7 linked regions of the Mus musculus genome follow. The protein of the gene in region 1 interacts with the protein of each later gene in a pairwise test. Links are inferred from orthologs where the notes say so. Each region holds a gene or a part of one and is shown on either strand. Other genes may lie near its edges. The genes, in order: Cdc5l, Akap6, Pde4dip, Gse1, Dixdc1, Wwc1 and Ppfia2.

Region 1 (4,666 bases):
GGAATGCCAGGGCCAAGAAATGGGAGTGGGTGGGTAGGGGAGCAGGGTGGGAGGGAGGGTATAGGGAACTTTTGGGATAGCATTTGAAATGTAAATAAAGAAAATATGTAATAAAAAAAGGATTTATTTATTTATTTATTTATTTTACGTATATGAATACACTGTAGCTGTAGATGGTTGTGAGCCATCATATGGTTGCTGGGAACTGAACTCAGGACCTCTGCTCACTCAGGCCCCTACTCGCTACTGCCCAAAGATTTATTTATTATTAAACATAAGTATACTGTAGCTGTCTTCAGACACACCAGAAGAGGACATCAGATCTCATTACAGGTGGTTTTGAGCCATCATGTGGTTGGCTGAGATATTAACTCAGGACCTTCAGAAGAACAGTCAGTGCTCTTAACTGCTGGCTCACCAGCCACAGAAAAAAAAAAAAAAAAAAAAAAAACAGAAAAAAAGGACATCTTACCTGGCCCTCAACAAACTGGAGGTGGAAAAAGTCAATGTTAAAAACACTACTTTATGACAGACAAAATTATTCACTGGCATGTACCTGCCATTCTCCTCACAAAGTTCACATACATTTATATATTTTCTCAAAACAAGAACAAAAAATTTCCTGACTATCTACCTTGAAGCAGGTCTTCTATACTTCTGGAGAGAGAATCAAAGAAGAAACTTGAGACTCTGGTTCAACACAGTTCCTCTCTGGCAGGCATCCTACTCACAACAGCCCAGGATCCACAGCTCCTCTACCTCATCAGTCAGCGCCCTGTCTACCTACTCCAATCTCTAAAAACCATTTCACCAGAGTACCCAAAGTATAGCCCAATCCCCAGACATCCTGCCACGCGAGCTCACAGACCTAAGAGTCATAGATGAATGCACTTGAGCACTTTACTTTTAGGCTTTTTCTACAATGAACTTGAATTGCCTGTCTTCTACATAAAACCCTCCACTCCATCTTCTCTCCCACTGCTAACTGGTAGCATACCCACCTAGCATACTTTAAGTCCTGGATTAGATTCCCATAAGACTTTACACATGACAGTACACACCTCTTATGCCAGAACAGGAGAGGTAGAAGCAGGAGGATCAGATGTTAAGGGTCACTCTCATCTACATAGCAAGTTCAAAGTCAATCTAAGCTACATAAGACCCTATCTCAGACAGACAGACATCGACACACAGACACACACACACACTCTGCTGGGTTTTGGCCATTATAGAGGAATCCTGATGTTACTTGATTTTGTGACTCTGCTTCTTCCTCAGAAGCCAACTCTTCTAGTTTAAATTGTCTTAGTGCATGCAAGTCCCTTTTCAGTGCCTCCATTTGTAACTTTGGTAAAGTTTTTCAAAACTTCAACGCATCTTCAACCAAATACATACAACAGGTACCTATCCTACAAGATTCATTCCCAAACATCACCAAGAAACCTGCTTCATACTAGAATGCCAAAGCCTGGTCCTACTATACTGCTGTCTGATGAAGACAACAGCAACTCATTTTTTTTACTGAAAGCCTACTAATGTACCCAGCTGCGTTCACAATGTTCCAAACTGGCAACTCGTTTCAAGAGCTTAAATACAATTATTTATTTGTCTTATAAAAATGAGTAATCTGAGGCTCTCAGAAGTAACTCAGCCGGAGCCACACAAAAGTGCTTGTGAAAACAAAGCTGTAGTAAATGAAAAATAGGTGCCACCAAACCACTAAACAACTAACTCTCAACGGGACGACCAACGAATGGGCCAGGAGGACTCTAAGAAGTGTTCTCAGCTAAGTTTGGAGCATGTTCAGAAAGATGCCAAAGCAATAAGGAGCTATCTCAAGAACGCACAAGACAGACGGAAAGGTGCTCATACATTCGGCGCACTCGATTAAATGCACGTTAACTTAATTTCTATTTTACTTCCTTCCTTCTGCTGTTCCGCTCACCGTGACATAATCTACAACATTTCTGGACGCAAACACCACCGTAGGTAAGTTTGTCCTAACTGGCTTCTATCCCGGCAAGGGTGGCGTGACTGGAAAGGTAAGAGAAAGGACCCAGGTCCTAAGATAAGCAGAGAGGTGCAGACGTAAACGGGCAGCCTGTCCGGCTGTAAAGAAGTCACGGAAAAAACAAAGTTGCAGCCACAACGGCTTCTAACAGAGCGAAGCGCTGTGCACGAGCTGAGATCGAAAGGAGCTGGAGAAACACCAGGCTCCGGGGGAGGTCCGGTCGGCGGCCACCGGGCTGCAGAAGACACCGAGGGGGCGCGTCCCTAACTGATCAAATAAGTGATCAAGGGCCTAGCAAATGCCAAGCGAGGAGCGCCGGGCGACAAGTCGCGACCTCGCCCCCGGGGTGAGCCAGGTGACCCGAGCCCGCACCCATGCACCGCGAGGGTCCCCGGGGTCCGCGCAGTCGCCGCCCCGCACCGCAGACCCCCGCGGGACAGCCACGGCTCCCGGAGCTTCCCCGCGCGTGCGCACACGCTACCAGAGCCGGCGGAGGGCTGCGGACGGCGGGAAAAGCTGCCTCACCTCCGTGTTCCTCCACACTCCCCCTTTGATCATAATCCGGGGCATCTTAGCGGCAGAGTGTCCCGGCAAGGGAGCCGAGGAGAGCTTCGAGAAAGTAGTAACGGCGCTCCGGGCACGGGACGCAAAAGGCCACTTCCTCCCAAGAGCGACCTTCTGCTTTGAAGAGCTCTGCGCAGGCGCGGCGTGGGCAGCCCCGGGAAATCTCGCGAGATCTTAGCGGCCGAAGGCAAAAGACGCGGGCGGCCAGGCTGCAACCTTAAGACTGATGGAGACTAATCAAACCGCAGGTGCCAAGGCGCCCGACGTGTCGCGCGCAGGTCCGAGACTAGGGTGAAGGAAAACAAAACTCTCGCGAGATGCCAGAGTTGGAACTTGACCGGGAACGCAGTGAAGGGATTGGTCCTGACGTCACGCGGAGGGCAGTGCCGGGGGTGGGGAATAAATGTGAGGGGTGTGGCGTTCCTCAGCACGCTTGGTCCCCAGGGAGCGCTGTTTGTTTGTTTGTTTGCTTGTTTGTTTGTCTGTTTGTTTAACGGAGCGCTGCGCTGGGCATCCCGGCGACCGACGAGGACTTCGCTGAGTCCTCGGGGAGATGCAAACGAGTCCGTTCTCTTTCTAGGAGCTCCAACTCGCAGCGCCAAGCGCCGAGGATGCCGGACGGACTCAAGATCCTAACTCTAACCTGAGGGACTGAGCGACTGCTCGCCCCAAAGTGTTCGCTCTCCTTCCTGGAAGAGCCACAAGGGGTTCGAGGCGACGCCCTAGGGACCCTTGGGAAGCGTCACGTCAGCCGCTTTCCCTCATCCCTCGCTGTTGGGTGTCTGTGGAACAAACTCGGTGAGTTGCGGGAGTCTCGCCCCTGGAATCCGGGGTCGTCCTCTGAAGAGTGGAACAAACAACTTGTTCATCAAATCAGAGGGCGGCTGCGAGTCCACAAAGTCTCGGTGAAGTGGAAATTGTCAGACTCTCTGCCATCTCCTCTCTCTTTTCCCACGCAGATTTCTCCACTATTCCAGAGCAATTAATTACTTGGTGTCACCCCAGGTCCCTAGGGAAAGATTTTATTCCGTGCATAGCGGCTCTGGTTTGTTGTCACTGTTCATGCTTCCGTTTGCCCCTTCTAGAAGACATGACGGATTTTCCGATTCGATTTTTGTTACGATTTTTTTCCTTGAAATAGGAAATTGTATCAAAATATCACTGCTTTCAGTTGAGAGGGAGGTAGTGTAGTGTTATGAAGAACACTTGGGTTTAGTGACCTACAATCTCATTTCACTCCTGTCATCTGACAGGATGACAGGTTAACAAGCCATTTTCTGCCTCTGGTACTCTTTGCAATGCTCTCTTGTAAAGATGTGTAACCATTACCTCCTGCCAACATCACTTAGTTGTATGGTTTTTATCCCACACACCCAGGTCACACACCATTTGGTTGACCAGATCAAAGCAAATCTGAACACTCCTCTCTGGGGATCTTAACGCTAGGATCCAAAAGAGGTCAGTGTTTCTGCTAGCTGATAAGCCTCTAACCTACCAATTGTGTGGCACCTAACAATTGTATTTTGAACTACATGGTCCCTGGATCTAGAACATTCCCAAGTCGTAACTACTTCCATATCCCCCTTTTGGATTTAGTCATTGAAGTTAGCTTTCCATTATTTGTAATCGAGAGGCCTAATAAATCCACAGTTGAACCAGTCCTCTTTCACATAGGCTATTCCAAAGGATCATGACAGTGACTTCTTCCACTCAACATTCTGTCATCTTTATGCTAACTTTAAAAAAGGTATCTCTTCCTTAAAACATGTTAATGTCACCTGCTAGAAAATTGTTACAAAGGATTGGTATTTTGACAACAGAACATACTTCATCAACCTATTGAGATCTATCCTTGTCTGTGGTGTGGATTCAAGTCAGATGCTCCAATATTGCCCCTTTTATTATGTGAATTAGTCCTCCAAGTGCCATGTAGGCCCCTCTCTGCACAGCAGCCCTGGCAACTGTCTTTGAACATAGGTGGTGTGTCCTTAGGATGCAGTATCTGAGATTAGCGCCCCATATCCAGAAACAAAGAGATAGGTTCCACATCTTCCTCACTCAGCCAACATACATTTTCCCAAATGTCCCTCA
Region 2 (4,006 bases), on another chromosome or scaffold:
GCCACACAGAACGGTCAGGTGGTGGAGGCCTGGTACGGCTCTGATGAATACCTAGCGCTGCCATCTCACCTCAAACAAACGGAGGTGTTAGCTCTGAAACTGGAGAACCTAACCAAGCTTCTACCCCAGAAACCCAGAGGAGAGACTATCCAGGATATTGATGACTGGGAACTGTCTGAGATGAATTCAGACTCTGAAATCTATCCAACGTACCATATCAAGAAAAAACACACAAGGCTAGGCACCGTCTCTCCGAGCTCATCCAGCGACATAGCCTCATCTCTCGGGGAGAGCATTGAATCTGGGCCCCTGAGTGACATTCTTTCTGATGAGGACTTATGTATGCCCCTCTCCGGCATGAAAAAGTTCACTGATGAGAAATCAGAGAGACCTTCATCCTCTGAGAAGAATGAGAGCCATTCTGCTACAAAATCAGCCTTAATTCAGAAACTAATGAAAGATATTCAGCACCAAGATAACTATGAAGCCATCTGGGAAAGAATTGAGGTAAGGTTAGTTTTAACCTAGTGATTTCTTGTCTGGGTTTTAAAAATAATTCCAGGGAAGTAGTCACCTCCTTCCCATTCTTTATCAAATATGTTAAGTTTTCAATTAAACTTTAAATTCTTCAAAGGAAGAGATGGAAAAACAATTCTATCCATCCCAGGAGCCTTGACTGCTGTAGAATTCTGTTGATCCTACTCAAGCTGAACAGGGTACCTGACAAACGGGCGGTTGCTGGGAAACAGCTTACAGCAGTCACGGCACACACATGGGATGCGCATCCAATGCAGACACCCAGTGGGGCATCACAGTGACCTTCCACACCTCTAAATCTCCTTCCTTAGCCCTAGAGTGACTCTCGCTCTCTAGCACCTTCTGTTGGAAAGACCACTCATGTCCAACTTACTAACCATCCCTGTTTTCTCCCCTCCTCTTCCTTTTGGGGACCTGTGGCTTATTTCTAAACCATCTCTCACATGCACTACGTGGGGGATTTTGGGAGAAGAGATTTGATTTGGGGCAAATCTGTACTTTTGGAAGGAATTATTGGATGTGATAGGACCTTTGAAGACAGACATCAGGACTCCATAATATAGCTTATGGTTTTATTCTCCAAGAGGCATCTAGACAAAGATTGACTTTCTCTAGAACTCTGTTGGAAATAGGTCTAGATAATTTTATCATTATTTCTTTCCATTGGAATAAAATTGTCCATACCTTGCATAATGTGTATAGCTCTTTACTATGTATAAAAATCTTCCAGATGCACGTTTAAGCCTAATTCTGCCACTATGCAAGGAGGTTATCTACAAAATGAATTATTCTTCTATACTGATAGAAACAGAGGTTTGGTAAGCCTAAGTTAGTTTTATAAGCTAACTAACTAGGTTGACAGACATATCAACTGGATGATACTTTTGCTTGGAAAGCTAAGATGCAAATCTGTGTCTTTTGATTCTTCATCATTTTTACTGTTGCAGTGTTAGAAAGATTTCTCCTGCAGGGAAATTTTAATGGGAGAGGAAAACAAGATTTGGTAGAGAATATCACTGTAACCCTGGGTCTGCCCAGGTACTTCTCTTGTCTTTTATATGTTCATTGATGAACATTATCAGACTAGGCACTGCTACAGTACAGTGCATATGGACAGAATAACCTTTTTAAATGAAAAGTCAAGTCTATAAAAATAAAATTAGCATAAATATATAATAGTTATGTTTCAAATAATTGTCACCATACATCAAGTATTTAGGTATCTGGTCCTCACCACAATCCTGGCATTAATTTCAAATGGGGTTAATTAATTGGGGATAAAAATATAGATGAGGAGACAGAGGCTGAGAGACACCAGGTAATCTCTGGAGATAACACCGCTGACTTGATCAAATTCTCAGAGCTGTAAGTCCAAAGTCAGGACTTGAATGCAGAGCCAGCCTTACCTGAGCAGTGTGCACCACGGCTCCCGGACTGGCTAGAGAAACTATGGCGGCCTTGGTGAGAACCAGTGTGGAGTCAATTTTAGGGGCTTCTGTGAAGCAGAGCAGGAAGTGGGGTAGTGTCAAAGAGGGAATGCAATCAAGCAAAGGAGTCTAGGCCTTGCTCGGCCACCAAGGGCTCTGAGGCCGTTTTCCCATTGTCACTCCCTGGTGTTCCCTCTGGTCCCTCTGAACCTCACAAAGCAGAAGATAGACGACATGCTAATGGCTGGTTCACAGGAAGGACTAGTAGACCGTGATGGAACTCCCCAGGACAATACCTGCATATGGTACCCAGCATCTCAGCTCCCAAGAATCCTCAGATGCCCTGTCACTCACCTTTGTGTCTTTACACTGATATTGATAGGAAGGATTTCTTTGTAGTGTACTTTTATTTTTGCTCCTTTGAAACCCGTTTTTGTTTATTTTTTGAGATTATAACTTAATTACACTTCTCCCTTTCTGTGATTCCCTCCAAACCCTCCCAGAAAACCTCTTCCCACTCTCCTTCAAATCAATGGCCTCTTTTTTGCATGCGCGCATATGTGTGTGTGTGTATACATATATATTCCTAAATATAACCCATTGATTGAGTCCATGTATTGTTTCTTGTATCAATGCTTGCAGGACTGACTGGTACTGGGCAACTACTTGGTCTGCTCATCCTCCCGGAGGAGCTTCCACCCCCAGTATTACTCAGCTGCCTGTAGCTCTTTGTGTAGGGTTGAGGCCTCATGGGCTCCCCGCCCCCACCTCCACCCCATTTGGAAACCCATCCTTTTAATAGACAGCATATTTACATAGTTTAGGAACTTTATTATCCATTAGCTCTCCCTCCACCTCTGGACCCTGTCTTGGGTTCGGACCTCAGGTACCTGTTGTTACTTACAGGCTTATGTCTTTTAACAAGTTCTTATTCATTTGTAAGCAAGAGCAGACATTTTTGTTAGGTAATATTTTAAAAACCAAGAGTCAAGTTGCAACCCGTCCTTCATAAATAGAAGCTCCTTTCTGTTTGTTATTATTATTATTTCTTGACGTCTCTAGGATGTTTGGGGGGAGGGGTTTATTAACTCTCTATGACTTACCAAGAATTTATGGTATAGGTAAATTGATGGAGGATTTCAGGTTAGAGTGCCCATGACTCTGCACCATGAACTTTCAACATAAAGTTAAGAGGAAACAATTAAATCAAGTCACTGAAGCAGTTTATTTTTTTCTGATAAACACATGAAATGGAATAAAAATAATGAGGAGAGTTAGAGAAGGGAGTGCCTAAAGCAAATGGACTTTAACCTAGGTTAAAAAGTGACATGGTGGCCGGGCGTGATGGCGCATGCCTTTAATCCCAGCACTCGGGAGGCAGAGGCAGGCAGATTTCTGAGTTCGAGGCCAGCCTGGTCTACAAAGCGAGTTCCAGGACAGCCAGGGCTATACAGAGAAACCCTGTCTCGAAAAACCAAAAAAAAAAAAAAGTGACGTGGTGTCTGGACCCATACCTTACATGAGTGCACGAGCTATATCACAAAAGGCAAGTCTAGCCTGAGCCCGTGTATTCCTAGTGCTGCTCTGTTTGTTGGCTAACTTTATTTTGTTCTATTTCTTCTTAGAATTACCGAGCAATTAAACCCAGGAGCTCTTACATGCTAGGCTAGGCTGAGCAGTCGAACCCAGGGCCTCTTACATAGCAAGCTAACACCCCACCACTCAGTTACATGCCTAGTCTGTTTGTAAAGTAATCTATTATCGGAACACAGTCATGCTTTTTTCCCCCTGTGGATGTTTCTGCTTTGTGATGATAGACTTGAAGAGTTATGACAGAAAATATGTAGCCTGCAAAGAATGAAGTACTTCCTGTCTGGCTGACGGGGGAGCCAAGTTCCTGGCTTCTGCTCTTGATTGAGGAGGAAACAGGGAAACTCATTTCTGAGTAGCATATATTAAATGCCAGATTCTGCAGTAGGTCCTCTCATGTAATTTATATAACAACCCTATAGAAGACCTGTCCCACAGGACCCTGATATAGC
Region 3 (4,006 bases), on another chromosome or scaffold:
GCACCAAGCTGGTTTAAGCTGCAGAGAAGCATTTCTGTCAGCTGCTCTGTCTCAGTGGAGCCTGTAATTGTGAAGACTGAACTTCAGGGTTGTTGAAATGGACCACTGTTCCTTGGTTTGTAAACACGTTCCCCTCCTCACTATCAGAGATGTGTTCACACCTAACTTCCTTAAGAAGAACTGCAGTTTTTATCTCCTACTGTGGCTGTCCTATGGCCTATCTTCTTTCTGTGGGTGGTGCCTTTCCCACCAACACACACTTGTGCCTACAGTTTGGTGAGTTTTTCCTGGCTCACGACTATTTATTTCATTTTGTTGAAGTGGAATTCATGGGGGGATTAGGATTCACACTCGGGGTCTCTGGTAGACCCTCTGAGATAAGGTGCACACTGGGGGGGGGGCGCACAGATGGCAGCATGTCTTTCATATTCCATATCCTTTTTCTGGGAACTGGTACAGAAGTGAGAAGCAAAGGAAAATAATTTCTTTATACACAGTTTGCTTTAATAGCCATCAGAAAGACTGCTCAGCGTCTTCTCACCCATCAGTCTGCACATCATGTTGGCCTTCAACATATAGCCATAGCAACATATATAAATCTATATTATACATTTATACACACACCCACATCCGATGAGCACTGTGGAGACAGAGTCTTCAGTACAGAACAGACCTTGCCCATGCTATTAAAAGAGGCACTGTTGTGCTGTACGCTAGACATTCAATAGGCATGATGTGGCCACCAGTAGCCCCCAATTCCCCTAAGGGAAGTTAGGATTACAGGGGACAGCAGAGTTAAGGAAGTCGGTTCAACTTGAGATCATGTAAGAAAGGTGCTAGGCTAAGTGCGGGGCACCTAGAAGTTACCACATTCCGTTCACTGTGTAGACTCAAAGACCTCTGGTGTGGTGGTAGAGACCAACATACTACCAGGCTTGGCCCATAGGACTGGCCTGGCTCAAGAGTGGGTCTGTGAGGGGAGTTTGTTGGGTGCCAACAATGTCCGGCAGGGCAGTGCCACTCAATGGTGTGTGCTTTTACAGTTGTCTGAGGAGCGTTGGCATTGGGACCACACATCCTGTTTGTGGGCGGTGAAGTCCTAGTTCCCCTGAGTTGGCTATCTTGAGGGCAGATGGTGAGGTGAGAACTGTAACAAGGTGGGCACCGTGCTGCAGAGGCTGTCTAGAAGCAGTGCCAAGAGGGCTTCTACACAGTCTACGTGAGTTTTGCTTAGTGTTGGGCCCAGTGGGCCTTGGCTAATCATAGTCATTGCTTGCCAGGATACCACTTTCATTCCTGCCTGTCCCATGTGGACATATCTCGGTCCTTCTGTGGACCTCCAGCAGGGGAGGAGTGGACCAGGTAGTCCTCAGCAGATAGGCAGCTGCACAAGAGGTGGGCAGGCCCACCCTTCCTGCTCCTTTAAGGACCTCTGGCTCCGCCCCTTATGTGGCTCCTGGAAGGCAAGGGTCACAAGGCCGGAGTGCACGTCAGAGCCCTGAAGGATTTCATCTGCAGACAAGAAGAAAACAAACCTGGTCAGCATGAGTGTCCAGGCCCCGCTGGAGGCTGGAGTGAGGGGCACACGTTGCTGGAAGCTAGGAGCCTGATTAGGAGGGTAAGCAAGCACAGCGAGTAGGGGTGGGAGTGCTGGCCTGGAGAAGCCCTTGAAGCCCAGATTAGATGGAAGCCTTTCCCACTCCTGGACTCTTGCGGCTTAGACCTCTGTACACTGAGTGGCCAGACCCTGCCCAGCTCCCTGCAGGAGCCAGGTCATGTTCCAAACCAAGTAGTCCGAAGCAAATAAGCAAAAAGAAACCAAGAGGGTCTTTTATATCTCCCAAGAAAGAAGTGCTGAGCAAGAGAGGAGCCTGTGCAGGAGGAGAGCCGCTCAAGTCCTCCTGGTAAATGCATGTCCCAGTTATCTGAGAAGGGGTGGAGCCAGCAGGGCCCCCGAAGGTGAGCTGAGCTGAGATCTACCATGACAGACTTGGACAGCAGAATCACAGAGATGAAGGGGCCAGCCAAAGCCACACAGGCAGTTAGTGACAGGCCCAGTGCTGAGAGCCTTCCCAGGGGCCTAAGGAAACAGAGAGGAAAGCGTCCGCAGGCTGGGCCAGTGTCGCAAAGACTGCTGGGTTACCTTTGCTGGGACAGGAATATGGCTGCACAGCGGCAATCTCCTAAGTGCTGTGTTACAGAGGCTCGGGAAAGAAAGGAGTCGTCAGAGAATGAAGGGAAATTAGACCAAGACAAAAGAGTGTCCTACATTACAGCCCAGCCCCCTGTCCTTTCTGCATGGGCCTTAGCACTGCGGCAGATGCGATTAGGAAGTGTCTGAGGAGAGGCTCAGCTGCGCTGGCAGTGGCAAGTCTACCCTCAGAGGATAGTTTCTGATCCTTACGCCACATCATCTGCACCAAGTCTTTTCTCACACTGCTGCCAGGGAAAGAGGCCAGCCACACTTAGCATTTGTGATAATCATAGAGAACCAGCCAGAGATTGGCTATCTTCCCCCTCAAGAGGCAGTGTTCATTTTCAGGTTTCCTTCTGCATCAGTGAGCCAAGATAAGGATTGTTTGGATCCTTACAGACAAGGATGCTTCCCACCTCACAGTGTAGCGAGGGCCGTCTATAAGGCTCTCCTCTGCCTTCTTGTCTATGGAGCCCCTGAGGAAACGTGAGTGCACAGCAGGTCTCACAGGCAGACCCCAAGTGCCTCTGCCCTCCAGAGGAGGCAACTGCACTCCATTTCCTGGCCTACCCATCCCACATAAAGGACAGAAAACTAGAGAGAAAGGGAGAGAGGACACAAGATGAGGGCAAGCAGAGAGGGCAGGAGAGGGAGGCGGGACTTGCTGAGGGACCACACCCTACACCGAACCAGAAACCTTTTAGAATGTCAGCTAGCCAGGGGCATCAGACAGGATGAGAGTGGTGGGCAGGCTCTGTGGCTCAGAGCTACAGTATTGTCCTTACCTCTAAATTAGTCCGCGCTTTCTTCAAGACATCATGGGTCCTAGTCACTGGAAACATAAAACAGCCCCACAGACGTGCAAATTACCAGCTGAGCCTGGCTTGCTGGGCACATGCACTACCTAAAGCAGGGTCTCAGCTACTGGGTGTGGCCTGTTGCTAGCCACTCCCCCTCTATCCCCACCCTTACTTCTCAGTCCCTCCAGTCCCTCTAGTCACTGTTCATCTGCTGCAAGACTGAGTGTCAGGAAGAGCCCCCCACCTCCAGGGACACCTACAATGGCTCACGATGAATTGTTCCATGCTTTTCTTCCTCTGGTTGGCCCTCTTCAGACGTGCAGCAGTGTTCTGAAGGATCTGTTCCTGTTGGGATACTTGGGCTCGCAGGTCCAAGAGTTCTTTCTCCATCAGTTGTCCCTGAAGAAGAGGGACAGATTCAGACAACAGTCACCAGGCTGAACACACCCTGGACTTGGCAGCAAAGTGCTGCCATCTCCCAACCTTTAGTATTGAATTCCTGTCATTAAAACTTCCCTAGTAGGCTAGAGAGGTGACTCAGGGGGTCAAGAGCACTGACTGCTCTTCCAGAGGTCCTGAGTTCAATTCCCAGCAACCACATGGTGGCTCACAACCATCTGTAATGGGATCCCTGTTCTGGTGTGTGTGAAGACGGTGACAGTGTCCTCATATAAATAAAATAAAGAAATCTTAAAACAAACAAACAAACAAACAAACAAACTCCCCTAATGCCAGCAGGAGACAGCTGAGGACCAGGCCACCAGACAGAAATGGGGAGGGAAACTGAAGCCTGCTGGGGAGAACCCTGTTCTAGGCCAACACCAAATCTCAACCGCAAGCCAGAGCTCTGTTTAGTCTGGTAGAAAATCCTCAATTCCTTGTCATGAGTGACTTAGGAGTTCAGGGATGTTATATCTGAAGAGGTGGGACTGGCCTGAGGACAGTGGGAGTCTGCAAATATCTGCCACCACGGAGATGTGAAAGCACCTTGGATTAGCACAGTTGGGTCCAT
Region 4 (4,006 bases), on another chromosome or scaffold:
ACTCACACCAGGACAAACAAGGAGACTAGAAAAATGGCCATCAGGCTGGGCAGTGGTGGCACATGCCTTTAATCCCAGCACTACAGAGTGAGTTCTAGGACAGCCAGGCTACACAGAGAAATCCTGTCTCCAAAAAAAAAAAAAACCAAAAACCAAAAAACAAAAAACAAAAAATAGCCCCAAAGATGAAAAAAGAGAAAAAAAAGAGAAAAGAAAAAATGGTCATCAGGCCAATTGGGGGGGTGGGGGGAAGGGGGGTTTGCACACTGCTGCCCTCCTCAGGCCTGTGGCCTCTCTGACTAGAACCTGGCTAACCAGGCCATCTGTGGGGCAGGGTGCTGCCTGGGTGACAAGGACAGAAAAAGCCCCGGCATGGTGGCTGCCCCAGGGCACCCTCCTGGCAGCAGCTGTGGCAGACAAGATATGTCTGCAGAGCTGCTCCAAGACACAGCTGCATCCATGAAAGGCAGCGGCTGGGAAGGAGAGAACTCTCATTCTCCAGTGATTAGAGTGAGGTCTCCACAGCTGGTCAAGTGGGATGAGCCCGTTAGTTTCCAGACTGTTCTTCATTCATCTCTCACGCGGCTTCCACTGCCTGGTCACCCTGGAGCCACACACCCCCTTGACTTCCAACCAGTGGATGTTGCCTCCAGAGGCCCCTAGTGACTCATGGCCACACTACAGGGAGAGCGCATCCCCCGCCCTCCTGGAAAGGATTAAACTCTCTGCTGAGCTCTGAGCATCATCCACTGTGTGTGTGCTTGGCGGTGGCGGTGGCGGTGGCGGTGGCGGTCTCCCTGGTGGCGAGCAGGTCTTGTTAACCACAGCGTGAACTGCTGGAGCAGAGCCATCAGAGCCCTTCTCCGGGTTACTAAATGTTTCTGAGGCAGTAAGGATCCTCTGAGGATAGTGACAGGCTCCGGGCAGAGGAGTCACGAGGCAGAGGCACTTGGAACCTCCTAGTTCTCCAAGGGGACAATACATGAAGTGTCTTGGACCTGGGCCAGGGGCTCCAGTCAGCAGAAGCTCCGGGGCCCAAGGCAGGAACAGGAAGTGACCCTCCCACCAGCTTCTCTCTCAGGAGCAAAGCCAGTCACCAGGCAAGCTGGTTACCCAGGGAAGGGAAGCTCTATGGGGGTTTTTATCAGCTGACTCATTGTCTGAGGTCAAAGCTGCGCTCTGGCAGGAGTCCACAGACAGGAGATGGTTGGCGGTGGCAACTTCTCTGACTTCTCTTAAGCCAGGACAGGGTGGGTCTAGGCTGCTCTGAGCTGAGATTCGATGACAGGATCGCTCAGACAGGTTTCCCAGGGTTAAGTGTGACTTCAGCCACAGGAGGAATGGGCCAAGGCTGGCCCCCACGCTTCAGTCAGGAGCCTGATGGATGCTCCAAGCACTTTACTGGGGACACCAATCAGACCTGAAGGGCAGATGAAACTCACACTCTTGCCTATCCTGCCCTGCCCCAGCGGGGAGAGGTGCTCTCCTTCCCCTCCCCCTCCATCTCTGTGGTTTAATTAGTACTTCCTAGCAGTACAAACCCTCTGGGAATGGGGCTGGAGAATCCCGGGAAAGCCACAGCTGACAGCGGTTCTTAATTAGCAAGGCCCCCTCTAGGCGCCAGGCTGCCAGGCCGCCGGGAGGCCCAGCAGTACAGGGGAAGCTCTGGGGCTGGCTCCTCCACTGCAGTTAGGTTATGGCCAGCTAGAGACTGCAGACACAAGGACCCCGGTGCTGGCTGGCATCAGGGACCATCAGAGTTAGCCTACAGTCCCGCCCCTACTCCTCCAAAGCAGTCACAGCTATTGTCTAGCCAAAGATCCAAGGCACTCTATGGTTGTTGTCTGTCTCAACCTGGTGCCTCTGGGTATGTAGACCCCTAAAGAAGTGATTGCCGTCCAGGCCACCAGAGGACACAATAAGACACCACTGTGTAAAGGGGCAGGGCCTTGGCGACCCCCTCCCTCCCCAGGCTTAGGGAGGCTCTGGCCTCCTAAAGCAAGCAACGATGAATTTGTGGTACTCTGTCACAAGTCTGATGTAAGGGTTGCCTTAATCCTAGCATCTTCCAGTACCGGGTGCGTATCAAGCTCACCTAGCAGAAGAGTCTGAGGACCAGGGTGAGAGGTCAACCTCGCCCCCAACTCAAGTTCTCAACAGAGCTGTGGACAGAAAACAGCCTGCAGGAACACCCCCACATACCCCGCCTCCATCCCCATTACCCCCACCACGCCCACACCTCTGGGCGGCGCCACTCACCTGGCGGCTCTCGCTTCTCCAGACTCCATTGACGGTTTTAGTGGGGGCAATAGTGACCACTGGGGGAGTGCTGGGGACACTGTGACCCCCGGGGGGGACGATGATGGGGCCCATGGGCACTCGTTTGGGCGTGCTAGCTGGAGAGCTATGGTTGGTGGCTGGAGAGGACACTGGAGATGACTCGCTGCTCAGTGAGGACCCTGCGGAAAGAGAACGAAGCAGCTCAGGGTCCTGTGTGTGTCACACCACCACCCACCGCGCCCACGCGTCTTGCCATTCCAGAATGCTCATGGGGAGTGAGGCCCAAGAGCGGGCAGGCAGGGACGGACCCACAGCCATTCTGTGGCCTCCCTTGTCATACTGCCTCTCAGGCGTGGAGGTGGAGAGCTATTTTTACACTTAAAAAATCTGAGATGTCACTCACTCTTTTAAAACCACGTCAATGTACCTCCGGTGGATCGGCCATATTGAGTGAATGCTACTATACCCAGAACAGCCTCACGACCCCAGAAAGAAGCAATGTGTTTCCCTTGCCAACCACCCCCAGCAGCAAAAGGGAAGAGGGGCAGGTAGGTGGCGGTAGTGAGGCAGCTTAGTTCTTGGGAGTGTCGGTTCCAACAGAACTTGGTAGTGAGGGATGGTCTCTGTCACTAACATAGCCCCCTCTTTCCCGGGACAATCATGCTACCTGCGGACACATGGCACGGCCTCTTTGACTGCGGAGGCCCATGTGTAACTTGTGTAATTGTACAGCGCAGTGCCCCGAGCAGTTCCAGCCAAGCACACCTCTTGTTCACATGACTACCAGGGCCTGACCTCAGCAATCAGGCTGAAGGCTGGAGCCTAGGGAAGAATCTCTCAGGTCTCCAATGGGCACCACACCCACTGCCTACAGCCTGAGAACTCTCTAGTCTCAAGTGGGTAGCGGGCAGCAGCAAGCCCCAAGGCTGGGCAGTGTGAACCCAGCACGGTGACCGCCCAGCACCTGCCAGTCAGAAAGCACAGGAGAGCAGCTAGGCTCAGAGACACGATGGCTCGGGAGGCCAGCTTCTGGGAGCTGATGGAGGCAAGCTACCGGTTGGTGCAGCCAGACCTGGGGACTGACCAAGAACCTTGGCACGAGCGAGCTACCATTCAGGAGCCAGGGAGGGCGTGGCATTCTATACCTCCCTAGATTCAGTAGGAGGGTATCCCTCTGTGCACCTGAGAAAGCCAAGGGGCCAGAAAGCCACACCCTAGGCCTGCAATGCCCGTCACTGTATGTGTCCAAAAGTGTCAACTAAACACCCCGGAGAAAGTCCATGCGGTCTGTTGTGAATCATGCCCACAGCCTTGGGCTATACCGAGTCCCAGCCCTGCCTATTCTATACAGGAATGCCCCAACAAGGCCCTCAGCCACATTCACGAGAGGACACATGGAACAGAAAAAGCCGAGTCAAGCACACAGCGTGGGATGCAACCTCCTTGCTCAGAGACAGTACCTCAAAGGGTAGAACATAGCTCCTGGGGGGGGGGGGGGACGGACGGATGGATGGACAGAAAGGCAGGGGCCCAACTTTTCAGCCCAAGCTGGCCCAGAGCTGACAATCAGGTTGTCTCCACGCCAGGCAAAAACGCAATCACTTTCACATTATTTTTAGGAATCCTCCTATTGCCTAAAACAGCAACCTGTTCGGGTGTGCTGCGCGGTCCTTCCCAGGGGAGCCACGGTATGATGCTCATGTCTAATACGCTATCGATCTCTGTG
Region 5 (4,722 bases), on another chromosome or scaffold:
CATGAGTCAATTCTGTGACTTCTTTGCCAAGCCTGCTGACTCTAGGTGGGACTCTGCGTGTGTGTGTGTGTGTGTGTGTGTGTGTGTGTGTCTGTCTGTGTGTGTGTCTGTGTGTCTGTGTGTATGTCTGTCTGTGTGACTGAGATTCTGTCACACACGGTTATATTTAGTGACATATGGAGTGAGAAGAGACCAGCAGTAAATAGAGGGAAGCCTTGATTCAAAGGGCAGAGCTTCTCTCTGCTGCTGCTGGCTTTCCTTATAATTAACCAATTAGGGCCATATCCCTGCTTCCTGTGGGAGTTTTCTCTGCCGTGGAGAATGAGGCTGCAGCCCTAGCCACACAGACCTATAATAAGCCATCTGGGTGATGAAGGCTAGCTTCAGATACTCTTAGAATAATCCCCAAGAGGTGGCTGAATAAATGTGTGGTATTCTTAGCCTCAGTACAAAGACTTTCTCAGAGGAATTAAGTGTTTTCTGACACTATCTTTTAAGTGCTCAGTTACAGTCTTATCATATGATGCTAACAAAAGAGATTGATTATTACTGGGTCTATTAAGCAACCTTGAGTCTGGAAGATCAAACAGGGCTCCTACCAACCTTCCCACTGACTTTACTCAGACTGTTATTCACTAGGATGGCTATATGTGATAGTATATGTGGAGGGAAATGAAGAAAATGTATTCTGTATGTGGAAAGATTTACGTTAACTAAGGGATCATTCAAATTTAACCTATTCATGATATCTGTATTATTTAGAGGCACAAAATCAAAAGTGCTGTTTTCATTTTCAGAGTTCAAATCGACTAAGGAGAAAATGTACATTGGTTTGCAGAGAGGGCAATTTATGGGATGGGTAGACAATTCCAATATCAGTGAGGCCAAGACACATTGCTGAATTGTTCTGAATGGAAGAATTGATTATAAAGTTGTCTGAGTGTTGTTTTTAGGAAGACTCCATTACCACCACAGGGGGTAAAATTACCTTCCACTCTCCTGTCCCCTTGTTTTGGAAGAAGTGAATGTTAGGCAACATTCATGTACAGAGACACAGAAATGACAGCCAGGCCGCTTTGTTCTTGTGTGGGTCTTTAGATGAAGACTTAGAGATGGAGAAGCAGCAGAAAGCACGGACGAGGACTTGGCTCTGTGCCAGCTGGTGTCAGAAGGTGGGTTCTGACACCAGTGAGCTGGGCTAAAATAGAAAAGGGGGAGAGGCCAGGAGAGGACCAAAGGAGGTTTTACCCCGACTAGTGAATGAGCAGGATTTACGCAGAGAAGGAGCAGAGAAGGCCCTGGGGCTGAGAGTGAGGGTAGATGACTGAGAATCCTGCAGACACTAGAAGAGGTGTGCTTCCTGGCTTTTCTGTGTTCACCTCTGGGTCTGTAGCTCTTTGTTAGCGATTCCCTTACATGTGTTCAGTCAAGAGTGATGGGAAGACGAGGAGGCCTGCCGGGCAGGCAGGATACAAGCTCTGCCCTTTAATGAAGGTTGTGACACCCCTCAGCCAAAGGAAAATTCCAGCACAGTTGGTCACAGTGGCAGAATGTTTCCATTAGATTTTTTTTTTTCTGTGTGTGTCAGGAATAAGGCTGGGGCACAGGGGCCAGGACTGGGGAAGGTTCTAAGGCAGGTCAGAATGTAGGATCTCCTAATTAGAAACAGGGATCAAGGGGGAAGCCTGCCGTGCAGCTGTAGAAAAAAAAAAAACCTACATGGAAATTCATGAGAATAGCTGGTTGCCTCTAGGGGAAAGGTTGGGAAGGGGGTGAGAGACGGCAAGGGCACAAAGGCTCGTCCATCTTGTCCATAATGTTAATATTTAAGAAGAGAATGGGTTTAGGATGTAGCTCAGTGATCAAGCCCCTAGTCATACTGCAAGGTCCTAGTTTCAGTCACCCCTGCACACAGGGCTGTTTATATTATCTGACTAAAAACTGATTCTAAAAACACAAGGGCTGTTGTAAAGGGTGGAGGAGTGGAGTACTGGTAAAACACCTTGGTAGCATCCCCAAGGCCCCCACCACACACACACACACACACACACACACACACACACACACACAATCTGAAATTTAAGAAACCCATAGAGAAGGGAAAGGTGAACTGAGGGAAAAGGCAGGAAGCCATGACCAATAGCTTATGCCTTTGCGGCTGCAGGCCTAAAGCAACCAAAGGATGACTGAGGAGCAAACAAGAGTAGCCTGAGTCACAAAAGAAGCAAATGGAAGAGGTAACAGAATTCTGAGAGAAACTTTTGAAGAGAAAACAGAGCCTGCTTGGGTCAATCCTGGCCCACCTTTCCTGTCAGGTTGCAGCTCCCCACCACAGTTCTCACAGAAGGGAATCACACTAATATTAGCTCCTGAAACTGGGCCTGAGGCCCAGGTTGGTCCTCTCAGCCAACCTTGTCCTCCTCAGTGGTGGAGAAATCTAATGTGCATGATTCAGGAAATTCGCACGTGGATGTGCAGGATTCAGGAAATTCACCCCTCATGTGGACCACCCACAGTCTCCTACCCTCTTTCAAACTTTCTACCAATGCCACGCCACCGCACCCCTCCCGTGACTCATCCGCTTAGCGCCTGAAATAGAGCTCTGCCGCATCTGTTCAGGGCTTCCCTCTAGGATGTCCCTGGAGAGTCCCTGGGAGGCGTGGGGACCACCTTTTCGGCAAGAAGATGCCTTCTGAGTCCGTAGTCCTGCCTGCCCTTCCCACCTCGGGAAGGTACTCAATCCCTCCAGTTTAGAGGAGGCCCACCGCCTTTCTGATGTCCTCGGGTTGATGCATCTGCACCACACCTACCTCCTTGACTCTACCACCCAGGCTCTTAAATGGGCTCCCCGGGAGGATGCCCCTCACCGCCCCCCAGGATTCCCTTCGGGAGATTAGGCGGGAGGCGCGGGGTGACCGGGAGCTGGGGGTGGGAGGAGCAGGGCAGTTACCTCATTGAAGCCCTCTTGCAGGACGTCCAGTAAGTTCCCGCGGGTCAAGCAGGCTAGCATTGTTCCTGCCGCGGGGCTTCCCGGGTGGGGTCACGCCACCGTCTCTTCCCTCTGTACACAAAGGCGATCAGCTCAGCTCCCTGGGAGCTCTCTGGAGTCCCGCATGCCACTTACTGGAAACCTAGACCCGAGCCAAACTAGCGGCTTGCACTGGGCATGCTCGCGCGCGGGCTGCAGCCGGAGGGGCCCGGCGCTGTGCTGGTTCCTATAGAAACAGCAGGGCGCGCGCTGCGCACAGGCAAGAGGCGCTAGCAGGCAGCCCCGGGTCTCCAGGGAGTGCGGGGAAGCCGTGGGCGCGCACGCAGGCTCCGCACGGGTGCTCGCAACGAGCATTCACACACGCGTGAGCACACACACACATCCGCGCTGACACAAGCGGGCTTGCCAGCCTGAGCATATGCCTGCAATCACTACACTGCACGTTTGGAGGCGGGCGTCCCCGAGCGTGTGCACGCACATACACGCACATACACACACACACACACACACACACGCACACGCACACGCACACGCACGTACACACACACACACACACACACGTATGTAGTCACTTTGCTCATTTAAGGCTGCAAGCACCTCATCACAAGGTGGGTGGGGAAAGGAGTGAGTCACAGGATTACCCCACCCACCCCTTACTCCATTCTCCAGACTAACAGCAACCTTTTTCCACGCAGGGCTTGAGAGTGAGACAACCAGCAACCTTTTCCCACTCGGGGTTGGAGAATGAAGCAATTTAAATAAGAGGAAATAGAATGACAAGAAATAACAATAAAAAGGGGCCAGAGGAGAGAGGCTGGGGCTGGGGCTCTGTAAGTAACTGTAGACTATAAGTAACTGAACAGCGCTAAACAAATCATACCATCATAATAGAAACGTCAGAGGCACACCAAGGATCTTCTATCTTTTTTACAAAATAAATGCTAAGGGGTAAGATTGGGCACGATGGCTCAGGGGATAAAGGCTCTTGTAAAAGCTTGACACCTGAGTTCAATCCTGGAGCCATGCAAAGGTGGAAAGGGAGAACTCACATCTCTCGGGCACAGGCACACATTACGCTCACCCCCCCCACACACACACTAATTAATTGGTTTTATAATAAAATAATTTCTAAGAGCCAGCATGGGGGTATACACCTATCATATGCATGCACATACACGCGCGCGTGCGCGCGCGCGCACACACACACACACACACACACACACACCAGATCAACACTCTAGAGGTTCTAAGTCCAAAGCTAGCCTGGTCTATATAGCAAGTTCCAGGTCAGCCACATATAGTTCCAGACCATATAGATGAGACCTGCTCTTGAAAGAAAGAAGGAAAGAAAGGAACACATACTTTATAAGTGAGTTTTAAAATAAAGCACCAAGAATGCCCTTGTACATTGTCAGGTAAAAGCATCCACCCTTGGGTGTAACAGAGCCTCTTTCTCGTGTGGCCTGGCTGAGGTCACAGCTCTGATGTTTATTTTTAAGAACACTAGTCATTTGCATGCTTGGACTAAGTGATCTTAAAAAAGAAAGAAAGAATGAGAGAAAGAAAGTCCATTTTACATTCCATCTTGTGATCCTAGACAAAAGGGAGAAATTACAGTGTTAAGACCCAGAGGAGATCAGAGCCTTGTCCAAGGACACAGCTGGTCAGGGACACGCAACTCAATAATCAAGGAATTACAAACCATTTTCTAGCCATCCTGTATCTCCCTCAGA
Region 6 (4,644 bases), on another chromosome or scaffold:
ATTCTTTTCTATTGATGGCACTAGAGATTGCTAGTTTCCCATGAGTAAAAATGATAAAAAAAAAAACATTTTTTAATGACTTGGTGTAAAGGCAAGCATTAAGCAACAGTTCAGGTAGCCAGAAAGCCACACATGTGGCACACACCTCTACAACCTGGCATATTATTACCTTCTAGTCAAATCAGTTCTTGGGAAGCTACCCACTTGCCCTCTTCCAAGGGCAACGCATGACTGGCATTTTTTGAGAAGTTTTCTATGTTGTATTATTCTCTCAGATGCTCGGTCATCATCAAGGCTGGCAAAGCAGTGCTCATCCACAAACACAGCACCTTGGCTCACACAGCACCCTGTCTCACACAGCACCCTGGGCTCACACAGCACCCTGGGCTCAGCTGCAGGGACTTATGCTGGAGGACACATAAACTTGAAGTTGTCTGTTCTAAGGGGTAACAAGTTGCCAAGCTTCCCAACACAGTTACAAAGCCCCCTGGAGTACCTCGCTCTGAGAGGCCTGGGGAGAACTAGACAAGATTAGAGGTTAAAAGGCAGAGCACAAGGACAATTTGTAAGTGGAAATAGCCAAACACTAGGAGCAAATCACATCTCTGGGTTCCAGATTTTTCTCTTACGTTTAAACACGGGGAAATAAGCTGGGTAAAGTGGTGCTCACTTTTAATCCCAACCATCTGGAGGCAGAGGCAGGTAGATCTCTGGGCCAGCCAAGGATACCCAGTAAGATCTTATCTTGAAGCAATACACAAACAAACAAGCAAGGGGAAATTGGAGTTGATAGTTGGTGAGATGGCTCGTGGGTTAAGCGGTTTGCCCCTGAGCCTGACCCCTGACTTTGATAAACGGAGGCTGTGAAGTGGAAGGAGCTACTAGACTGTAACAATTGTCCACCCACCTCCATATGCACACACACTGTCAAGCAGGCATACACACCGTTATTAAACACACACAGAGAAAGAGAGGGGGAAGAGGTGGAGTGAGGCATGTGGGAAGGAACTGGGCTTGCGTTTTCTAAAAACTTTCCAACTTTTGGGTCTCACTGTGTAGCCCTGGCTGGCCTGTCTGTCTAGCTTCTGAGTTTCCACTATCACTCCTTCCTTCCCAAGCAAACCATTCATCAGACACAAGGGGAAACTGAGGCCAAAAGATCAAAGCAGCCTGTCTAACACTCTGTAGTACTAGCGCTGAGCAGAGTAGGAACTCAAGAAACGATGAATGAATGAATGAATGAATGAACGAACGAACTCATGAGGAAGTGAACTCATTGCTTCCTACGTTTTTCTTTAACCCTCATCTTGCTATACACCCCATTCTGGATGTCTCAGATCCCCTTCATCTGAACCCCATAAAATGAAAGGCTCAAAAAATTCATCCTGGGTGGCTTTACGTGCACCAAACCCCCAAGGTCACAGACCAAGTGAAAATCTAACATTCCTAGGATACTTTGACCACACTCCTTCTTGGCAAAGGACGACTCCCCTCCTTCCTGGGCAGATGTGGGCCAGGTGTGAGTAACTGAAAGTGGGAAGGAGTCTGGGATGATAAGACTACCTGCCTCAGGAAAAGCTCATGCTACGCACACCCAGCGAGGTGCCCACCAAGGTCAGGATTGTGGAGAAGCCTCTGGCCCCAGAAGGAAGGGAGGAGAGGAGGCTAGGGCAGGCAGGGCTTTGCCAGAGGCCTCTCACCTCTATCTGCATCCTAACAGCTTCCAACTTGCTGTGAGATTCCTGGAGAACCAGTCTCCCTCTTTTGCCCTCCCCCGCGCTCCCTCCCTCCCCTCCCACCTCCGGCTTCCCCAGACTTGCTCCAAAGCTTTTCTCGGCAGCCAACGAAGCACCTGTCAAAAAAGCTGCTTTCTCTTCGCCAGAATGTCCTTCCTCCAGTAGTTTCCCAGCGACCCGTGGGCTCCCTACCACCCCTCCATGCCAGATCACCCCTCCTCAGCCAAGGGAGTTCCCAGGGAAGATTCGCTTCATCTGGTTTTGGTCTTTGCCTTCACCCTGGCCAGACGTCGCTTTCTAAATGAGCCGGGGACCCTGCTAGAGCTTAAGGTCAAAACTCTGGGCAGGTGCTACAAGGGCCTAAGTCCTCCACCTGGGACTGGCTGCCGGCAGTCTGCTTGGCGTCCGCCCCTCTCTGCAGCTCTTCAGAGCTTTGTACTCCTGTACAGCTCAAGGAGGGGTGAGGATGTAGAGGGGGCAAACTAAGACCTGTTAAGAGACACGCAGAGTCCCCCTGCACACTAAGGGCAGGTGCGGCCCAGGCGCGGTGCCGGGTCCGGGTCGGAGCACTCCGGGTCCTACCTGTCCCGCGGGTCGATCCAGCTGGTGGTGCGGTTCCTGTGATCTATGTAGTAGACCTTGCCGTCGAAGTCGCGCGCCTCCTCCCAGCCCTCCGGCAGGGGCAACTCCGGCCGGGGCATCTTCCCGAGCCTGGCCCGCGCTCCCCCATGCAGCTCGCAGCCGCCACGGGGCTCAGCGGCTCGGGCTGGCCGCTTTGGGTCCAGGCGGCCGCCGAGGCAGCATGATCGGGGAGTGGCGCCCACGGATCGGGGGCCCTAACGGGGGCCGGCCGGGGTGGCGCCTCTGTCCATGCGGCCCTGCGGCCCCAGCCCCACGCCGCCCGCCTCTCACGCTGCCATGTGCGCCCGCCGCGGCGCCCAGCCGGCCCGAGTCCGCGGCCAGCCAGCCAGGAGAGCGGCCCGAGCCGCCGCCTGCCTGCCCCTGCCGCTGCGCGCTGCGCTCCACGCCGCCGCCGCCGCCGCCGCCGCCCGCAGCCTCTGCCGGAGCCCCGCCGCGCGCCCCGAGACTTCTGCCTCCGCCAGGTGTGGCTCCGGCGGTGCAGGTAACTGCGCTGCCCCGGAAACGGGAGGCGGAGCGCCGGGCTCCAGGGTTCCCGGGTCTCCTCCCCGCGCCCAGCGCGGCGAGGGCGGGTCCTAGAGCCCGAGACGCGCCCCCTCGTGGGACAGTCCCAATCGCCGACCACCCCGTTCTGCCCCAGGAGGCTAGGCTCTCTCTACGCCAGAGTGTCCGGGCTCTTGGCGCGTGTGGCCCCAAATCTTGACACACCCTGTTTTCTGTGATTGAGAACCAGGAGTCAGGCAAGAAGTGGTTAAGTGAAAACATTCTTGCAAATCGGCGAACATAAGTTTTCCAGGATCTCTCGTCCCTTCCCCCCCAGCACTCACACCATCTGTCTTCCTCCTATTCAGTTCTCCCCGTGTTGTTTCAACCCTCCTCTCCGTAATTTGCAAATGTAGCTGGCTTTCCTTAGGGTCCCTAAAATTAGGAATGCTATGGATCTGCTTCCTAAGAGGACTTCCAGCGGGTGGCAAGGGAGGAGAAGGAAGGACATATTTTGCCAGTCATAGTGAAGTGCACCTGTCTCTCGGCTACTCAAGAGGCTGAAGAAGGATTACTTAAATCCAAAAGTTCCAGGCTGAGTCAAACTAGCAAACACGGGGGGGGGGAATAAATAAATAAATAAGGAAGGAAGGAAAGGGAGGGGGAGAGGGAGAGAGAGAGAGAGAGAGAGAGAGAGAGAGAGAGAGAGAGAGAGAGAAAGAGAGAGAAGGAAAAGAAAGAAAGAAAGAAAGAAAGAGAGAGAGAGGGAGGAAGGAAGGAAGGAAGGAAGGAAGGAAGGAAGGAAGGAAGGAAGGAAGGAAGGAAGGAAGGAGAAAAGAAAGGAGAAAAGAAAAGGCAAACCCTGAAACAAGAATAAGTAAATGTCTTGAGACATTAGCAATATTGAATTAAGGGGAAAAAGTTCCCTCTTAGGTTTGGTGTTTCCCCCAGTGCAAATGTAACTGTGCCTGAGGCAGGAAACTGGACTGGAAGAACGAAGTCCAGCGCCTTGTCTGAATCAATCCCTTAATGTGGGGAGTAACCAGTTAACTCCCTGTACTGTGTGGGGATCCCCTGTTTGATACACAAGGCGTTTTAGGGTGGGCTCCTCAAATCTAAATGCCCTGAGGACATAGGGGACGGGTGTAGCTCCTCCTCCATCCCATCAATATTATACTTCGAAGCCAGGGATCTCAGATCTCAGGGAGGTCCTCACCACCCACCCAACTGCTGGGGAGTTCTCCCTCCAGACTTCCTGTGATGGGCAAAGCCTTCACAATTATAAGTACTTCTAGTGCCCTCCTTCCCCCGTTCTGTTAGGATCAAACTCCAGGCATGCATCCTCACTGAACCAAACCAGCCAATCTGTTTTGAGTTTTTGCCTGGGAGACCTCGCTCTGCCTGGCCTTATACTATGGTTATCTCCCCTTCCTACCTCTGCCTCCCAAGTGTGAGATCACAAGTGTGAACGAACCATCACTTCCAACACGTGCTGATCTGATACGAGGCTTGCGTTTTCAAGTATGATCTCAGCTAATCTTCACGACAAAGCCCTGGATAGGGTACTGTACTTCTCCTCGTTCTGGAGATGAGGACACTGAACTTCAAGATGGCCAGGGATGGAGCTAAGAAGAGACACAAGCACCCTAGCACCGGTGAAACCAATGGTTGAAGGGTCAACCATTAATGCTTCATTGTATTTAGATCGAGGGTTTGTAATGTTTTTTTAGATTCTTGCTATGCAGTCCAGGGTGGCCTTGAGCTCAGCATCCTCCTGCCTCTCCCT
Region 7 (4,006 bases), on another chromosome or scaffold:
TAAAAAACATGTACTTTTGAAGACTAACTTATAAAAGTTCAAATATTCACACCACTTTTTTGATCAATCTCTTATTTAGTTTTAATAACTTAAATGACTATAAACTATATAGCTTCAATTACAAATTACAAACTTAAATCGCATAATTCACACAACTGCTTTGCCAAGTCGCTGCACTCTTTTAAAAATATGACTTGCAAATATTAGATGGCATAAAACAAGTTGGAAAGGAGAAAGTTCTTACAGAAGACCTGGGCTCAGTCAGTTCCCAGCACTCACACAGTGTTTATAAAATAAATCTATGAGACAGGAAATTATAATTTAATATAACAAATTTGAAATGTTAAATGTTATTCCTTAGAGTAAGTTAGAATTTGTTGTATAAAGTAGCACAAATGCATGGTCACTGGTCACTATTTCTTTTCAGATACTGTATGAACTGTTTGCATATAGTCCTCTTTACTATTTCAGCATGAGCTAATATCATGTCAAAGGATATGTTTTAGAGTTAAAATTGTATTCCTGACATAAGACTGTTTTGGTGTCATAATTATTTAATGTGTAATTATAAATTAAAATGTTGATTCAATGTTGCGTTTGTGCATAACATGCTAATACAATTCAGCTATAGCAATGTCCCATGTGTTGACACTCTACACCTGTGGTTTCCTGACAGCAAGATATGTAACTAACCTCAGACAAAGAGTCTGTGCATCCTTTTCACCCTAGGGAACTATTTTGTTTCCATAGCAACAAATTATTGCAGATGCACCTTGGTGTGGTCCTTCTTGTCACATTGTTTTTGAGCATTCACAAAGTTTCTTGTCCTTATGACATTATCATTGCATAATAAGTAGAGAAGTTTTAATATTTTCATTTATTTGTTTTTTTTAAATTACACTTAAGGATGGGATCATTGTATCCTAGAGCAATGCACATTGTGTACAGCAGTCATCTTTTATATGCAGCTCTGTTGCAGATGAAACTCAATTCAATTTGAATTAAAGAATATTCATAATAATATATACCGTTGGCTTAGTGCTATCTCTAATTTCTACATACCAGGTCTTCTATAATCCTGATACAAATATGGCACTCCTGAGTCATAAGGAAATGCAGTTGAGATGTAATATTTGCATCAGGTTTCTTTTCCTAAGTACATGATAAAACAAAACTAAGATGTTCTTAAGTATCTATCAGAGATATTCTAGTGTTTGGTTTCTCATAATTCCAGTTATTACATGTCATTTCTAGAGTTGCTTTAACTCACCCGGTAAAAGTCCATTACTGCCAGCTGTCACTAACCCTTCATACCTCAGGTTCACAGCTTTTGATGTGAGCATATCATTGTCTTCCATTTATAACCATCAACTGCATTATCTTCACCAGATACCAGAATAGTGTATTAAAGTATTGAATTTGCCGTCACTTTTATTTTAAGCATTCTGTACTATGTTCTGTTTGGTGTCAGTGTCTTTAGTTCTGATTTTTTTCAATTTTGTCCTTCTCCTTTTCCTTGACTTGTTAGTCTGATCCAACCTCTTCTACCTCATCTGATGATTATCAATATGTTATGGAAGCTAAACTACAGGAAATGATCTCCATACGTAGGAAGGTAGTCCTAGTGGACTTTACTTTCTATTGCTGAATAGAATCCATCTAAGTTTTTTTTCTTTTCATTTCTATAAAAGATTATGTTACTTTTATTTATTGATAATCGACCATCTGTGCAGTTCAGTGCTTCAGGAGCTTAAGATTGGACAATGGCAGGTTTGTGTTCAAGCCATGCACACTCTGCATGTTACATTTGGCTGACTCCATTGCTCATAAATAAGTCCAGTGTTCTGCTGATGCTTGGATGGAACAGGCCCTTGTTAGCTGACACATTTCAAGCGATGCTGTTCAGCTGCCTGTTTAAAGAAAGTTTATGTTTGGAAACTAAGTTTGCAGTTGGCAGTAGCTTGCTTTACATTTTATTTCAGTTTGTTTGGATGGGAGGCATTAACTCATTTTACATTTTGGGTCCAATCTTTGTATTCCTTAACAGGCTGAAGAGAGGCATGGAAATATTGAAGAACGTATGAGACACCTCGAGGGCCAACTTGAAGAGAAGAATCAAGAACTTCAAAGAGTATGCATGAAGCTTTCCCATCTATCATTAGTGTTTTTAAATTTACAGACTGCATATAAGAGGAAAACATCCCCTGCTAGAAGCTGTGCTGACATCATTTGCCTATGATCTAGGCATTTGAAAGAAAATAGTTTCTACAACTTTAACCAAAAACATGCATAAAATTACATTCAGCATAAAACCCACAAAACTATAAAATTAAGCTTGAAGAGCAATGAGTTTTATTTTACTGTGCCGAATATATATTTTTTTCTCTTTTCCTTAACTATAAGGCTAGACAAAGGGAGAAAATGAATGAAGAGCATAATAAGAGATTATCGGATACGGTGGACAGGCTTCTGACAGAATCCAATGAGCGCCTGCAACTACACCTGAAGGAAAGGATGGCTGCTTTGGAAGAGAAGGTACAGTCTCACACAGGAAGAGCATCACATGGATGCTTTGCTCTATTGTCTAGGTTGTAACTGCTCCTAGCCAGCTGTACTCATTGTTTGCATCAGGCAATCAACCTGCTTTCCTTAGCCTAAAAGATCCTCAATACAGTCTTAGTGAGTTACTAACTTCAACAAAATGCTATAACATCATTTATTGAACAAATTATCAGATGGCACATAATAAATACTACATATTAGTATGTTTATAAGAAACACATGTATGAAAACATGCCAGAATACATGATGAAATTTTCACCTATCTTCTCATTGTTTGTTAAATATAGAGGAGGACATAAATAAATATTGAGTGTGTGTTTATTTGAAATTATTGTGTGCTTAATCTGCCTAATAACCACCAACACTGCAAGCCAAGGCATGAGAGGCTATGTCAGGTAGAAGAGTAATATTGTAATAGATAGAGGCTTTTAAGCCCTCTATTTGTAACTGCATTGTTTCAAGAAATGTGCTTAAGTTCAGCCTGAAAATTGATGCAAAAATCATGCTTGTCATGTTAATAACTAGAAACTATCACAATAATCAGAATTGTTAGAGATGGTGACCAAACTCAAAATAAGACAGAGACATAAACACTAAAACCTCAGAAGCACAAATTATTTCAGAAACCTAAACAGAATTTCACTCACTCTGTTCTTGAGGCATTTTCCATGTTCATATAGTCAAGCAAAATGTTTTAACACAATGTTAGCCAACTTTGATTTTTTTGACACATTAGGAAGTCGAAGCATACTATGAATAGTTGGGTAATAATTGAATAGATTAATTCTTGTCTACAATAAAGTCTGTGAAGAATCAGAGTAATAGCTCATAGGGTAATATGTATGTTGTCTGTCTATTCAAGTGTAGCAAAGTAGCATTTCTTGTTTAAATAATTTATTTTGCAAAAGGTTCACTATTACTTTTAAAAACTTCAATAGAACTTGGTTTCCATAGAAACCAGGAAATATATTTATCAGGGAAGGAATCATAAAGGTTTTGAGTGTTAGAGTATTCATGTACATATTTAAATATTTTCAGCATATTGTTTCTTTCTTTTATCTTTTCCATAGAATGTTTTGATTCAAGAATCAGAAAACTTCAGAAAAAATCTTGAAGAGTCCTTACATGATAAGGTATCATGGAAACACATATTTTTATTCACATTCATGAATATATTATAAAATAAATGCAATAGAAACAGTTTTGTGTTGGATTTTAAATCAGTTTTCACTCATTTTAGCATAGTTTATATTTATGTAGATACTGAAAAGCTTTTGTCATTGAACACATTGCAAACCAGTACTCTGAAAACAATCCATGTTAGCTTAAAATCACTATCAATATCTTGTTTTGGATCATATTTATTACTATATATTCACTACAGTTTGTGAAGTTATGGAAGTTATTTCTGAAAAAAAAATACTGTTATATTTAGTTGGGTTAC

Evidence for each region.
Region 2: the proteins of Cdc5l (region 1) and Akap6 interact in a two-hybrid assay, tested with the Homo sapiens proteins (2 studies listed by BioGRID and IntAct). The link is inferred for Mus musculus from reciprocal best matches to the Homo sapiens genes CDC5L and AKAP6.
Region 3: the proteins of Cdc5l (region 1) and Pde4dip interact in a two-hybrid assay, tested with the Homo sapiens proteins (2 studies listed by BioGRID and IntAct). The link is inferred for Mus musculus from reciprocal best matches to the Homo sapiens genes CDC5L and PDE4DIP.
Region 4: the proteins of Cdc5l (region 1) and Gse1 interact in a two-hybrid assay, tested with the Homo sapiens proteins (2 studies listed by BioGRID and IntAct). The link is inferred for Mus musculus from reciprocal best matches to the Homo sapiens genes CDC5L and GSE1.
Region 5: the proteins of Cdc5l (region 1) and Dixdc1 interact in a two-hybrid assay, tested with the Homo sapiens proteins (2 studies listed by BioGRID and IntAct). The link is inferred for Mus musculus from reciprocal best matches to the Homo sapiens genes CDC5L and DIXDC1.
Region 6: the proteins of Cdc5l (region 1) and Wwc1 interact in a two-hybrid assay, tested with the Homo sapiens proteins (2 studies listed by BioGRID and IntAct). The link is inferred for Mus musculus from reciprocal best matches to the Homo sapiens genes CDC5L and WWC1.
Region 7: the proteins of Cdc5l (region 1) and Ppfia2 interact in a two-hybrid assay, tested with the Homo sapiens proteins (2 studies listed by BioGRID and IntAct). The link is inferred for Mus musculus from reciprocal best matches to the Homo sapiens genes CDC5L and PPFIA2.

The regions. Positions count from the first base shown.
Region 1 is NC_000083.6:45,430,855-45,435,520, forward strand, and holds the start of Cdc5l (cell division cycle 5-like protein), read right to left. Parts: upstream 2,854-4,666; 5' UTR 2,582-2,853; coding exon 2,537-2,581; intron 1-2,536.
Region 2 is NC_000078.6:52,887,557-52,891,562, forward strand, and holds part of Akap6 (A-kinase anchor protein 6), read left to right. Parts: coding exon 1-507; intron 508-4,006. UniProt on the Homo sapiens protein: Binds to type II regulatory subunits of protein kinase A and anchors/targets them to the nuclear membrane or sarcoplasmic reticulum. May act as an adapter for assembling multiprotein complexes.
Region 3 is NC_000069.6:97,689,342-97,693,347, forward strand, and holds the end of Pde4dip (myomegalin), read right to left. Parts: intron 3,394-4,006; coding exon 3,255-3,393; intron 3,027-3,254; coding exon 2,980-3,026; intron 1,513-2,979; coding exon 1,471-1,512; 3' UTR 487-1,470; downstream 1-486. UniProt on the Homo sapiens protein: Functions as an anchor sequestering components of the cAMP-dependent pathway to Golgi and/or centrosomes.
Region 4 is NC_000074.6:120,561,079-120,565,084, reverse strand, and holds part of Gse1 (genetic suppressor element 1), read right to left. Parts: intron 2,460-4,006; coding exon 2,260-2,459; intron 1-2,259.
Region 5 is NC_000075.6:50,724,836-50,729,557, forward strand, and holds the start of Dixdc1 (dixin), read right to left. Parts: upstream 3,150-4,722; 5' UTR 3,011-3,149; coding exon 2,951-3,010; intron 1-2,950. UniProt on the Homo sapiens protein: Positive effector of the Wnt signaling pathway; activates WNT3A signaling via DVL2. Regulates JNK activation by AXIN1 and DVL2.
Region 6 is NC_000077.6:35,977,653-35,982,296, forward strand, and holds the start of Wwc1 (protein KIBRA), read right to left. Parts: upstream 2,876-4,644; 5' UTR 2,438-2,875; coding exon 2,319-2,437; intron 1-2,318. UniProt on the Homo sapiens protein: Regulator of the Hippo signaling pathway, also known as the Salvador-Warts-Hippo (SWH) pathway.
Region 7 is NC_000076.6:106,833,649-106,837,654, forward strand, and holds part of Ppfia2 (liprin-alpha-2), read left to right. Parts: intron 1-2,047; coding exon 2,048-2,131; intron 2,132-2,403; coding exon 2,404-2,535; intron 2,536-3,632; coding exon 3,633-3,695; intron 3,696-4,006. UniProt on the Homo sapiens protein: Alters PTPRF cellular localization and induces PTPRF clustering. May regulate the disassembly of focal adhesions.